3 linked regions of the Arabidopsis thaliana genome follow. The protein of the gene in region 3 interacts with the protein of the main gene of each other region in a pairwise test. Each region holds a gene or a part of one and is shown on either strand. Other genes may lie near its edges.

What was found.
Region 1: the proteins of AT1G68240 (region 3) and AT4G29100 interact in a two-hybrid assay, tested with the Arabidopsis thaliana proteins (one large-scale study listed by BioGRID).
Region 2: the proteins of AT1G68240 (region 3) and AT5G61620 interact in a two-hybrid assay, tested with the Arabidopsis thaliana proteins (one large-scale study listed by BioGRID).

Annotation. Positions count from the first base shown.
Region 1 is NC_003075.7:14,338,917-14,342,679, forward strand, and holds the start of AT4G29100 (basic helix-loop-helix (bHLH) DNA-binding superfamily protein), read left to right. Parts: upstream 1-2,048; 5' UTR 2,049-2,223; coding exon 2,224-2,552; intron 2,553-2,787; coding exon 2,788-3,166; intron 3,167-3,436; coding exon 3,437-3,517; intron 3,518-3,763.
Region 2 is NC_003076.8:24,770,735-24,774,081, reverse strand, and holds AT5G61620 (myb-like transcription factor family protein), read right to left. Parts: upstream 1,757-3,347; 5' UTR 1,700-1,756; coding exon 1,381-1,699; intron 1,308-1,380; coding exon 1,096-1,307; intron 998-1,095; coding exon 575-997; downstream 1-574. Other genes in the region: AT5G61630 (uncharacterized protein), read left to right, coding at 80-279; AT5G61610 (Oleosin family protein), read right to left, coding at 2,830-3,048, 3,181-3,347. UniProt on the Arabidopsis thaliana protein: Probable transcription factor involved in somatic embryogenesis. Acts as a positive regulator of BHLH109.
Region 3 is NC_003070.9:25,574,244-25,577,718, reverse strand, and holds AT1G68240 (basic helix-loop-helix (bHLH) DNA-binding superfamily protein), read left to right. Parts: upstream 1-1,589; 5' UTR 1,590-1,652; coding exon 1,653-1,883; intron 1,884-1,960; coding exon 1,961-2,029; intron 2,030-2,126; coding exon 2,127-2,192; intron 2,193-2,280; coding exon 2,281-2,433; coding exon of another isoform or gene 2,434-2,439; exon of another isoform or gene 2,440-2,501; coding exon 2,502-2,540; 3' UTR 2,541-2,855; downstream 2,856-3,475. Other genes in the region: AT1G68238 (uncharacterized protein), read right to left, coding at 3,041-3,238. UniProt on the Arabidopsis thaliana protein: Transcription factor involved in somatic embryogenesis. Acts as a positive regulator of somatic embryo formation. Acts as a positive regulator of ECP63 by targeting its promoter and inducing its expression.

The sequences.
Region 1 (3,763 bases), on a different chromosome or scaffold from region 3:
ATTTCTTGGAAATTGAAATCACTGGGAAACAGAATATTAGGGATCTCCAAACCCTAGGACATTGATTCCTTCGAGATTACTGGTCTTCTTCGTTGTAGGCAAAAAAAAATGGTATTTATTGTTAATTTGTATTTTTCTGATCATGCTTGGACAAAAAAAATGACTCGTTCAGGTTAGAATTTAAAATTAAGTGTATGCGTCATATGACACAATGCTCTCGTCATCTTGTGTCTAACAGAGTGAAATAAAGAACGAACAATTGTTTGTATACACACAAATACAATCGCACCTACATGTGCACATATTTTATTACGCTTATCTATAGAAAACTGTTTGATACATTTTTTCATTCTAAAGTAAATACACAATCCAAAAAATACTATGTCATGTTAAGAATGTTTAGTATATCTATTTATTTTAGGACAAGGAACATTTAACATATAGTAAACAGTTTTAACAAAATTTCTCTGATTTGAAATATATTTTTTATATTATCAGTAAAAAGAAAACTGTAAAGGTAATTATAGTCGTTGATTAAGATTATACTTAGTTTTTTAAAATAACATGTTTTAAAAATTTTGCAAAATAAGTTTTTTTTTTTACATGTCTCATAATTTTTGTCCTCAGTTTATGTTAAAAATATTTTGTTATTTTGATACTAACATCTTCCATACGCTGAAAACATCTTTGAGAATATTTTTCAAAACACAATATACAAAAATCCACAGTGACTTTATTCCACGATGAAATGATATCAAGACATATATGTTCTTACCTTTACCTTTCAACGAAAATGAGAGAAAAAATATATATATATAGTATCACTTTTAGAAAATGTTTTTTTTTGCTAATTAATTATTATATAAAAATGTTGAGAGCAACTTGATCATATATGTAATAAAGTCGCAGTGAAAAAAAAAATGTAATAAAGTCGCATACCGACGTTGTGACTCGTTTTTATGTAATTGATTAGTTAAGTACAGAGTTCGTTAGATGTATTTGCATTGTTACAATTACAGAAAACCCTACGCAACACAATTCAGTACTTTTTACGTCAGCAAAAATAGAATCTTTCGTTGAAAATAATACCAGAATCGTTCTTGTCTTTAATTTTCTTACCTTTTTGTAATTGGATATGATTTTTGACTATGGAATTATTATTATTTTATTCTATAAAATTATAGTTTTTATTATTGGAATCATTTATAAATGCTATTACTCAGTGTTCTTTAAAGTCCATACTAACGAATTCAAGTACTTATTTAACAAAACAAAACAAACAAATACTAATAAACTAAAAGTACAAACATTACTATGTTATTAAAAAAAGCATATAGCTGCGTGATTTTAAAGGTATATGTGACATATAATACAACGACGCCGTCGTATTTTATTGAATTTTTTTGTCACTTTTAATTAGTATACAGTGAGGAAATAAGCAAAAAGAAAGAAAAAAATATTGTTGGCTCGGCTAGTACCTATAAATAAAAACACTAGTATTTGGCCCAGGATATAATCATTGCAAGTTTAGAACTAGTTAGCTAATCTAAACCGTTAGATCAAAGAAGCAATCTTACTAATCAGAAAAACAAAATTCAACAAGTTACAAGAATGAAAAAAATAGGGATAAAAAAAAGGATAATTCATTTACATTCGATCAAAAGGCGAATGCATAGATCATAGATGCAAGACACTTGTGAGTTGTGATATAACCAAAAATTTATTTAATTATATGTAATATATATTCGAAAAATTTATACACCGTATATAAAATATTCGAATAATCCTTTTCTTTGATTTAAAAATATTTTCTGCTTGTTTTCTCAACTCATGTATTAATTTAAATAATAAAAGTAGCTACCACCTTTCTCTGCCCCACTTTAAGATAAAGCTAAAGCATGGAAAAAAGCATGGGAAAAAAGTAAATATATGATATACAATCAAATAAATCTAAAAAAATAGAAAAGAAAAATTAAAGGAACGAAAAAAAGAGGGAGGAAAAAGACAAAATTAAAAAACAAAAATAAAAATTCCAAAAAAATTAACATCACATGTTATCAAATGAGATCAAAATTTAAGTTAGTTTTGAGTTTTCTCTCTCTTTCTCTTCTCTAAAACTACTTAAGCTAAAGAATCAAACACTTCTCAACGTTTCTCCAAAGCCTCTGATTAGTAAACACATAAAGAGATCTATAGAGAGAGAGAGAGTAGAGATAAAAGGTGATGAATAGAGGTGTGTTGGAGAGTTCGCCGGTTCAGCAGCTGATGGCAGCCGGAAACCCTAATTGGTGGAACGTAAGCGGCGGCATGAGGCCACCACCACCGTTGATGGGTCATCAGCAGGCGCCGTTGCCACCACATATGACTCCTAATAACAATTATCTCCGACCACGGATGATGCCCACTCCCTTCCCGCACTTCTTGCCATCTCCGGCGACTTCTTCTTCTTCCTCTTCTTCTTCACCGTCTTTGCCTAATAACCCTAATCTCTCTTCTTGGCTTGAAAGCAATGATCTCCCTCCTGAGTCTTGGAGCCTTAGCCAACTTCTTTTGTAACTATCCCTCTATCTCTCTCCCTCTATAAATATTCCAAAATGAAATATTCTCTATACGCACATGACATGATCTTGTGTTTACTTACTAGTTCACTCTTTGTTTTCTCGTGTGTTGCTACTTAGTCCTAATTACCTTTTTGTTATACGTATATACGTATATACATGTATGTGTTTGTATTTTAAGTATCAAACAAACAATCTAATATTTTGGATATTTTCTTTGTGAACTTAGGGGTGGATTGATGATGGGAGAGGAAGAGAGATTGGAGATGATGAACCATCATAATCATCATGATGAACAACAACACCATGGTTTTCAAGGGAAGATAAGATTGGAGAATTGGGAAGAACAAGTGTTAAGCCACCAACAAGCTTCCATGGTGGCTGTTGACATCAAACAAGAGGGTAACATTAACAACAACAATGGCTATGTCATATCTTCCCCGAACTCACCTCCTAACAAATCTTGTGTTACAACAACTACCACAACAAGCCTCAATAGTAACGACGATAACATCAACAACAATAATAATATGTTGGATTTCTCTAGCAATCACAATGGTCTTCACTTGTCAGAAGGGAGACACACTCCTCCGGATCGATCCTCTGAGGTAACACTTTTTCCACATCTCAGAGATTTTGATAATATACGGAAAAAGCTCGGAAATAATATCTAGTTTTACACATAAATTAGTAAACACATCAACTACTATGAAAAAGTGAAATCTAAAACGTCATTTAAAAAGATCAGGACAACATATTTTATTTTAAGGTTTGGATCTAAATTCAACACGCAACCAGGATGAGTTTTGCTCTGAATTTTTTTTGATTAAATGACTAATTGATCTTTGTTTTGTTTGTTATCTATATATGTGATGCAGTGTAACAGCTTAGAGATTGGTGGGTCTACTAATAAGAAGCCAAGGCTCCAACCTTCTCCTTCGTCACAATCAACCCTCAAGGTAACTAATTGATTATATCAACGAAACTTTGGATAACTTATATAACGTTTTCTGTATATAAATTCCCTCCCTGACATCATACTAACAAAACAAAAACACAAACACAAAGGAGAACAGAAGAAGCAAACAAAACAGAATGGGCACAGAATAAGCTGTGTGGTTTTGTGTTTTGTAACTCTTTTGTTCTCTCCTGTTTTGTCTTCTTCTTCATTCTTCAATATTCCTTTCCTCTCTTTATTTCATAAA
Region 2 (3,347 bases), on a different chromosome or scaffold from region 3:
TGGGAAATATTTTATGTAACTGTTACATGTTGATACTTTATTCTTTGTGGCACTTATAACATCGATCCAAATTTTGAAGATGTGGATGTTGGGATGAGAGAAGAATCTATTGCGGCTAAGATTGAAGGATTGACGATCGAAGGAGACATCGACAATGATAGCGATGGAACTCAGACCGGTTTCTTGGGTGCCACCTTAGAACTCGGAGATCCTGACAAACCAAACCTCACTGATAGAACCAGACGAGCTTCTAGGAAATTGATCAAAGGATTTTACTAGTTAATCAACACCATTTTTTTAATTTTCTCCCAATGAATGTTGATTTTACTCAATAAACTTCACCAAAACTAAGATTTTTTTTGTTTTGTTTTTGGTTGATAAAGAAGCAGCTAAATATAAATCCAAATATATCTATATTCTTATTTAATCTAATCTGGGAAGAAATAAAAATGATACATAATCCGATTGGCAAAACTTTTGAATATGGAGCTATATATTCAAATAAAACTCAACACCAAAAAAAAGAAGCAATATACCTATATCATGCTTAAATAAACACACAAAAAATGAGATTTCATTTCACATGAATAACGCCATGACCAGTCAAGTCAGAAGCTCCAGTAGCTTGTGGAGGCAAACCGATATGAAGATCCAAACCGTCTTTATTTGTCATATTAGAAGCTTCACTCGGTTGAGACAGAGGCAAACCAATCGGTATATGTCTTGGAACAGGTATACCAGAAGGATGAACAAACCTAACCGGTACTTGAGGGTTGGCATAGTACATTGGATAATTTGGATGGTACATAATAGGTGGAAAGTTGTAGTAAGGTGGTATGGGTTGGTAGATTGGCATATACTCCATTGATAAATTCTGAAACCTGTTCGAAATCTCGGTTTGAGTATGACCTTGTACTACCGGTTGTTGAATTCCGGTTATTGGTTGTTTAGGTGGAGTCTTTGTTGAAGCATCTTGAGAGTTCCTCTCTTTCTCCTTCTGTTTAATGAAAAAACAATTAAACCCTAAATTAAAAAATAGCCCTAGACAAATCAATTGACTCAATGGATTACTTGAGAAACAAGGTAAATAAGTACCTGATCTTCGAGAGAGATGTCAAAGAGACTAGCACGTCTTTTTCTCTTGTCGTTAACGTTTAACCTAATAAAATATTTCTGAGCATGACTTGCGACTTGTGTTGGTGTTCTTGTCGACACGAAACTCTTTGCAATGCCTCTCCAATCTCCTTTTCCGAGTTTGTTTAAACCGATTAAGAAATTACGATGTTCTTCTTCCGTCCATGGCTTCCCTGAATTTGATTTATTCTTATTAATTTCATTGAATTTAGATTATCAAATTGATGAGATTAGAAGATTACGTACCCTTTTTCTTCTCATGAGCAGTTTTACCCTTCTTGGAATGAATCTGACCATCGGAATGATAACCGGTATCATCAACGGCGGCGATAGGATCACCGCTACCGTTACTTTCATCGTTAGCGAGAAGAGCATCAAGGTTTCCCAAACTAAGACTCTTCCTTAACGCCGTTACCTCAGGCGGCCTAATCGGATCAGACGATATATTAACGCCGAACAGTTTAACACTTGCCTTATTAACGCCGTTGAGACAAGTCCGTGCGTTATGGCCATTATGGCCACAGTGTGAGCACGTTTTCGCCACCGTCACCGTCTCCTTCACCATCTCTCTCTCGCCACCAATGTTTTCGGTATCACAAGAATTAGAATCACAAGATCTCGCTAATTGTATTTATACCTTAAACTCTCTTGTGTAATGATATATATATATATATATATATATATATATATGCGGATATGCGTGAGCTGTTATTTGTGAATGTCCTTGGTGTTTTTACATTTTTTTATTTTCCTTAAGAGATAAAGCGTTTCCTTAATTATCTTGTTTTATTTGGAAGTTTTTACCCAAGTCATTATAAGGAAAAATCCAGCAGAATCAGCGTAGGATCATAATCGACGGTTAACATTTTCTTAAGATAGGATTCGTGGAAAATCAGCCGTTAGATTGTTTTCCAGGTAAACATGTACTGGATATTGATCCCGGATATTTAGGAGAGATATTAAATCGTATATTCGATTTTATTTTTTTATTTTCTTTCCTAAGTTACCCATATTTTTATCAATATCAATCCTAATCTTAATATAACTGGAATTTACTTACTTTTATCTTCATCCATATTAGTTAATATCTCATATTTCCTAAGTTACCCATATTTCTATTTCTTCCAAAGTTTTTACATATATATACTCCTATATATATTTGCGATAAATTCAGAGTATAATTTTTTTAAATAACTTTGTGATATAATTCGATCCAATCTAAACGCGTTGAGATCTAATTGGATACTTGGAAATTTAGATCAATATAGGAACAAAGTCCTCGTTTCCTTATTTAGGGAAACCTTTTTTGTTTATTTGTTTATTGCAGTCAGTGTGTGACACATACAAAATCTACGGTGGTAAAAAATATGATTAGTTTGATCAAAAATTAAAATCTAGTAGGTTCTGAGTTTTAGATTTTTATTTAATCTCGACTAAGATTCCGATTGCAATTTTTATATATTAAAATAAAATAAAAAAACATGGTAATCTGACAAATTGAGAGATTCCACCTGTTTAATGTGTTTTTTCATAACTGAAATTTACGCTTTCTAAAGTACATTAATAGCAGCATATTTATAAACAAAAACACATTAGCTTATAGTATTTAATACCTTCAAAATGATAAATTTCGTTTGAACTCTTTATAAGGTAAAAGCGTACCCTTTAAAATAATAACCACCCAAGTCCCAAATGTCATATATGAAAATGGTTTACGTATTTTTTGTCACGAGATGTAAAATATTTATATGCAAAAGCTCCTACACGGGGGACTTTTTGGTATTCTTTCATAAAAATAGATCGTGCTTTAGTAGCATTAGCATCCATGGCGAATCGAAATGGGTGACACCTTTTAGTACAAGTACTTGGGCCGCAACACTTGGGGACAATTGGGTTTTGCTCCACCACCATAACCTACCATTAATTTATGAAGGGAATATTAAAGCAGAACAGTGTTTAATCTTGCTAATCCAAATTCTTTTCCCGGCAATTGCTAAATGTGAAAAAATCATTAACGAAAAAATTTGAACATCACTAATATAGTACCTTTGGTATCTCAGGGATTGACAAATGCTCAACTCCTCCTAAAGGCATATCTTCTTCCACATGCTTATCTCCTTCCGCCGGTTTATCTTTTTGTGGCGGTTTGTCTTCCTCCACCGGTTTATCTCCTTCCGCCGGTTTATCTTTTTGTGGCGGTTTGTGTCCCTCCG
Region 3 (3,475 bases):
TCTAAAATAAAATAAATAATATAAATATTATTATTTTGGCAAAAAAACTATATTAATATTGTTTTAAAGAAAAAAAACTTTGTAGCTAAAATGATAAACATATATAAGTGATTTTTTTTAACTTACATATCTCGTTAACGTTTTTTTGTTTTTTCGTTAACGTTTATAATTTGTAAGAAAGATTTAAAAATGAAATATTTTCATAAATATTTAAATATTAGATATTTGATCCGCGGTTTGGGCCTGTAGAGAATCTTAAATTCATTTTTTTTTTCTGTTTTTATTTTCAATCTTTGAGCAAAACAAATAGTTAATGATGTTATAGATTCAATTGTTTAACAAAAACTAACTTAAGAAATTAATTTAATTGAATGATTTTTTTTATAACTAAATTGAATGATATTGCAAATATCTATTTACAACATTAAATATATTTGTTACTATAATGATGTTAGTGTAAAAAATATATTCATTGTTGCACCCAAAACATTCATAATTAAATGTTAGTTTTAAACTTGGCAATCGAAATTTTATATTATTTTTCTTTCAAATCGCTCATATGATGGCAGGTTAACCAAATATGTTTTGCTTGTCCGTTTTTTTTTTCTATCTGTCTCCAATTGTTCAAATAATATATACGAGATATTGAAGAAATGGTTGAGAGAAAAAAATGAAATGGTTGAGAGAAAAAAATGAAATGGTTGAGGTTTATTTAAGAAGGAGAAGTAACGAGAGTGTGCATGTATCCACAAATAACCCAAATTAAAATAGTACATCTAGCTATAAAAAACGTCCCGTCTCAATGAAGTAATCAGACGACGGTCTTATGTATTTGGGTCGATGGCGAAGCTATTCGATAGAGAGTTCAAGATCTCTGATCAGCACATGTTTATATGAAAGATTTTGGTGCATGACTCCTTAAAATATGTATGAGTATTGAAGAGACACGTAACTCGATAAATATATGCAAACGTACGTTCTAAATATCACATCAGAAGCTAGCTTGCACAGTGTTACAAGCCGGTCAAAACAAATTTCTGACTAGAAACATTTTCTTGCCCTTGCATGGACATGTCCATGCATGTTGTTGATATAATAGAAAGTTTATCTTGTTCTCAATCAAAATAAATAATTCTTAAATATTGAAATATGTCATTTTTGTTCGAACTTGTAATAGGAGTTTTACAGTTCTCTTTTCCAACTAGATAATGTTTTTCCAATTTTAATGCAATTTGTTGTATCCATAGCTAGCTTGAGAAGAAAAATAAAATACTAAAGATTAAGAACTGCCGTTCATGAACAAGAATGACACTATTCCCCTGCCGTTCTTAGAATTTCAAGAAAGAGCAAGAAAGCAAATATAAGAAAACAACAAAAATATATGTTTTCTTCTGTCTAATGGATGTGCGTAAATGTGGAACACATAAATATAATAATATAATGGAAAATGAGTAAATAAATTGTTAGAGAAAACCATGGGACGAAGCAAAATCATCTTCTTTGCTTCCCGCTCAATTGTTGGAACTTTCAAAAGAAGCTTCTTGTATCTCCCCTATATATATATAGCTTATGGCTGAACTAACTAGTTTATCCTTAACCCTCCACTTTTCACTCTTTAACAAACTCAAAATCCTCAATTTAGTCAATCATCAATGGAGAGAAACAACCGCAACGAGGGGACTCACGAAGAAGAGCAATGTTCGCTTTCTGATATTATTTATTCGTTTTGTTCAGAAAATCATAGTGAATTAAACCCTTTGCAAGAGATATTCGGTGTTACCAAAAACAATGATCATGAGAAACACGACGAGGAGCCAGACGAGGAAAGTTACCGTATGGCTAAACGGCAACGTTCCATGGAATATCGTATGATGATGGAGAAGGTGAAGATGACTTAATCTCCTTCTTCTCTTACGTGATTCCCTAGCTAATTTATATTTTTGCTTTCTAAACTTTGTAGAAAAGACGAAAGGAGATCAAAGATAAAGTAGATATTTTGCAGGGGTTGATGCCTAATCATTGCACAAAGGTTAACTATTACTTAATTTACTCCATATTTTTTATATATTAGAGTCTAATACAATATCAAGTTTCGAATATCGAGTTTCTTGTGTGTTTATCTACAGCCGGACCTTGCATCGAAGCTTGAAAACATCATTGAATACATTAAAAGTTTGAAATATCAAGTAGATGTAAGCATTAAACTATATCTAATTTAATTTAGTTACTTGTATCCATTAGAGTATATATGTTCTTATGTGTTATGTGGATGTGGTCCAGGTTATGTCAATGGCATACACAACAACTCCGGTTTACACACCACCATTTTATGCAGCAGCTCAAGCACCATGTATGTCTCCTTGGGGCTATTATACGCCAGGAGTTCCAATGATGCCTCAGCAAAACATGACCTATATCCCGCAATATCCTCAGGTTTGATCAAATTAAAGTTTAATCTGATTCCACAGATTCTGATTTCTGCCATCAATCTTTTATCACAGGTATATGGAACAGTGCCGCCAAATCAAACTCAACCTTAAAACAAGCTCTAGCTATGTGGCTTTTTAAGACCCTCCGGCTTTAGACTCGTTGCTGTTTATATAGACTGTCTTTGTAAACTAAGATATGTACATAGATACATAAATACATACGTAGTTTTATGTATAACTTTTAGTTTGATGCCACAATATGTAAAAACACCTGTTTTTTATGTTCTGTTTTGGTTGAGCATTGTTCCTCTGTTATTTATGTTCTGTTTTGCTCAACCTTTTTCTTTGTTGAATGTAAGTTAAATAAACAACAAAGATGTTATGTTACGTGTAATAGTACGTTTGTACCAAACATTACTACAACCCTAGTTTGATAATTTTTATCTTGAATCATAGAAAACGAACTAGATCACTAAAATGTTAAATTCAAGAAGCAGAATACATTCATTGGCTACAAATTATCTACACACTTTAACTTTTTTTATTAAAGCAAGAAGCCAAAATAGTTTTATCTTTAAATGTTACTAAAGTAAACAAAAAATGCTTCCCGTTTAACCTCCACAACCACCACCGCAGCCAGCGGCGCAACTGGATCCATTGACATCGTCGTTAGTGTGAGGTTTAGAAGCTCGGTCACTGCATGAGAAAATCACGGCTGCTATGACGGAGAAAGCCACAACAGCTGCCCAAATGTAGAGTGAGACTTCACCATTACCCGCCGCTATTACCGCGAGTTCTCCTCTCACCATTGAAAGAGTTTTTGTGCATCGCTTTGTGACAATTGTTGAGACTAGTTGATAAAGAGAGTTGTAATTGGCATATTTTCAAATGTGTGGTTTTGCGTTTTCGAGTCAGAAGTCACCAAAAAAAAGATGCGACGACTCTTTCTTATATATACTGCCCTTTGGTTTAACTCTAGGGTCAGTGGATCACAAGCTAGTAGTTAACCAATTGTGTGTGCGGCCACTTGATTGTCTTAAAAAATA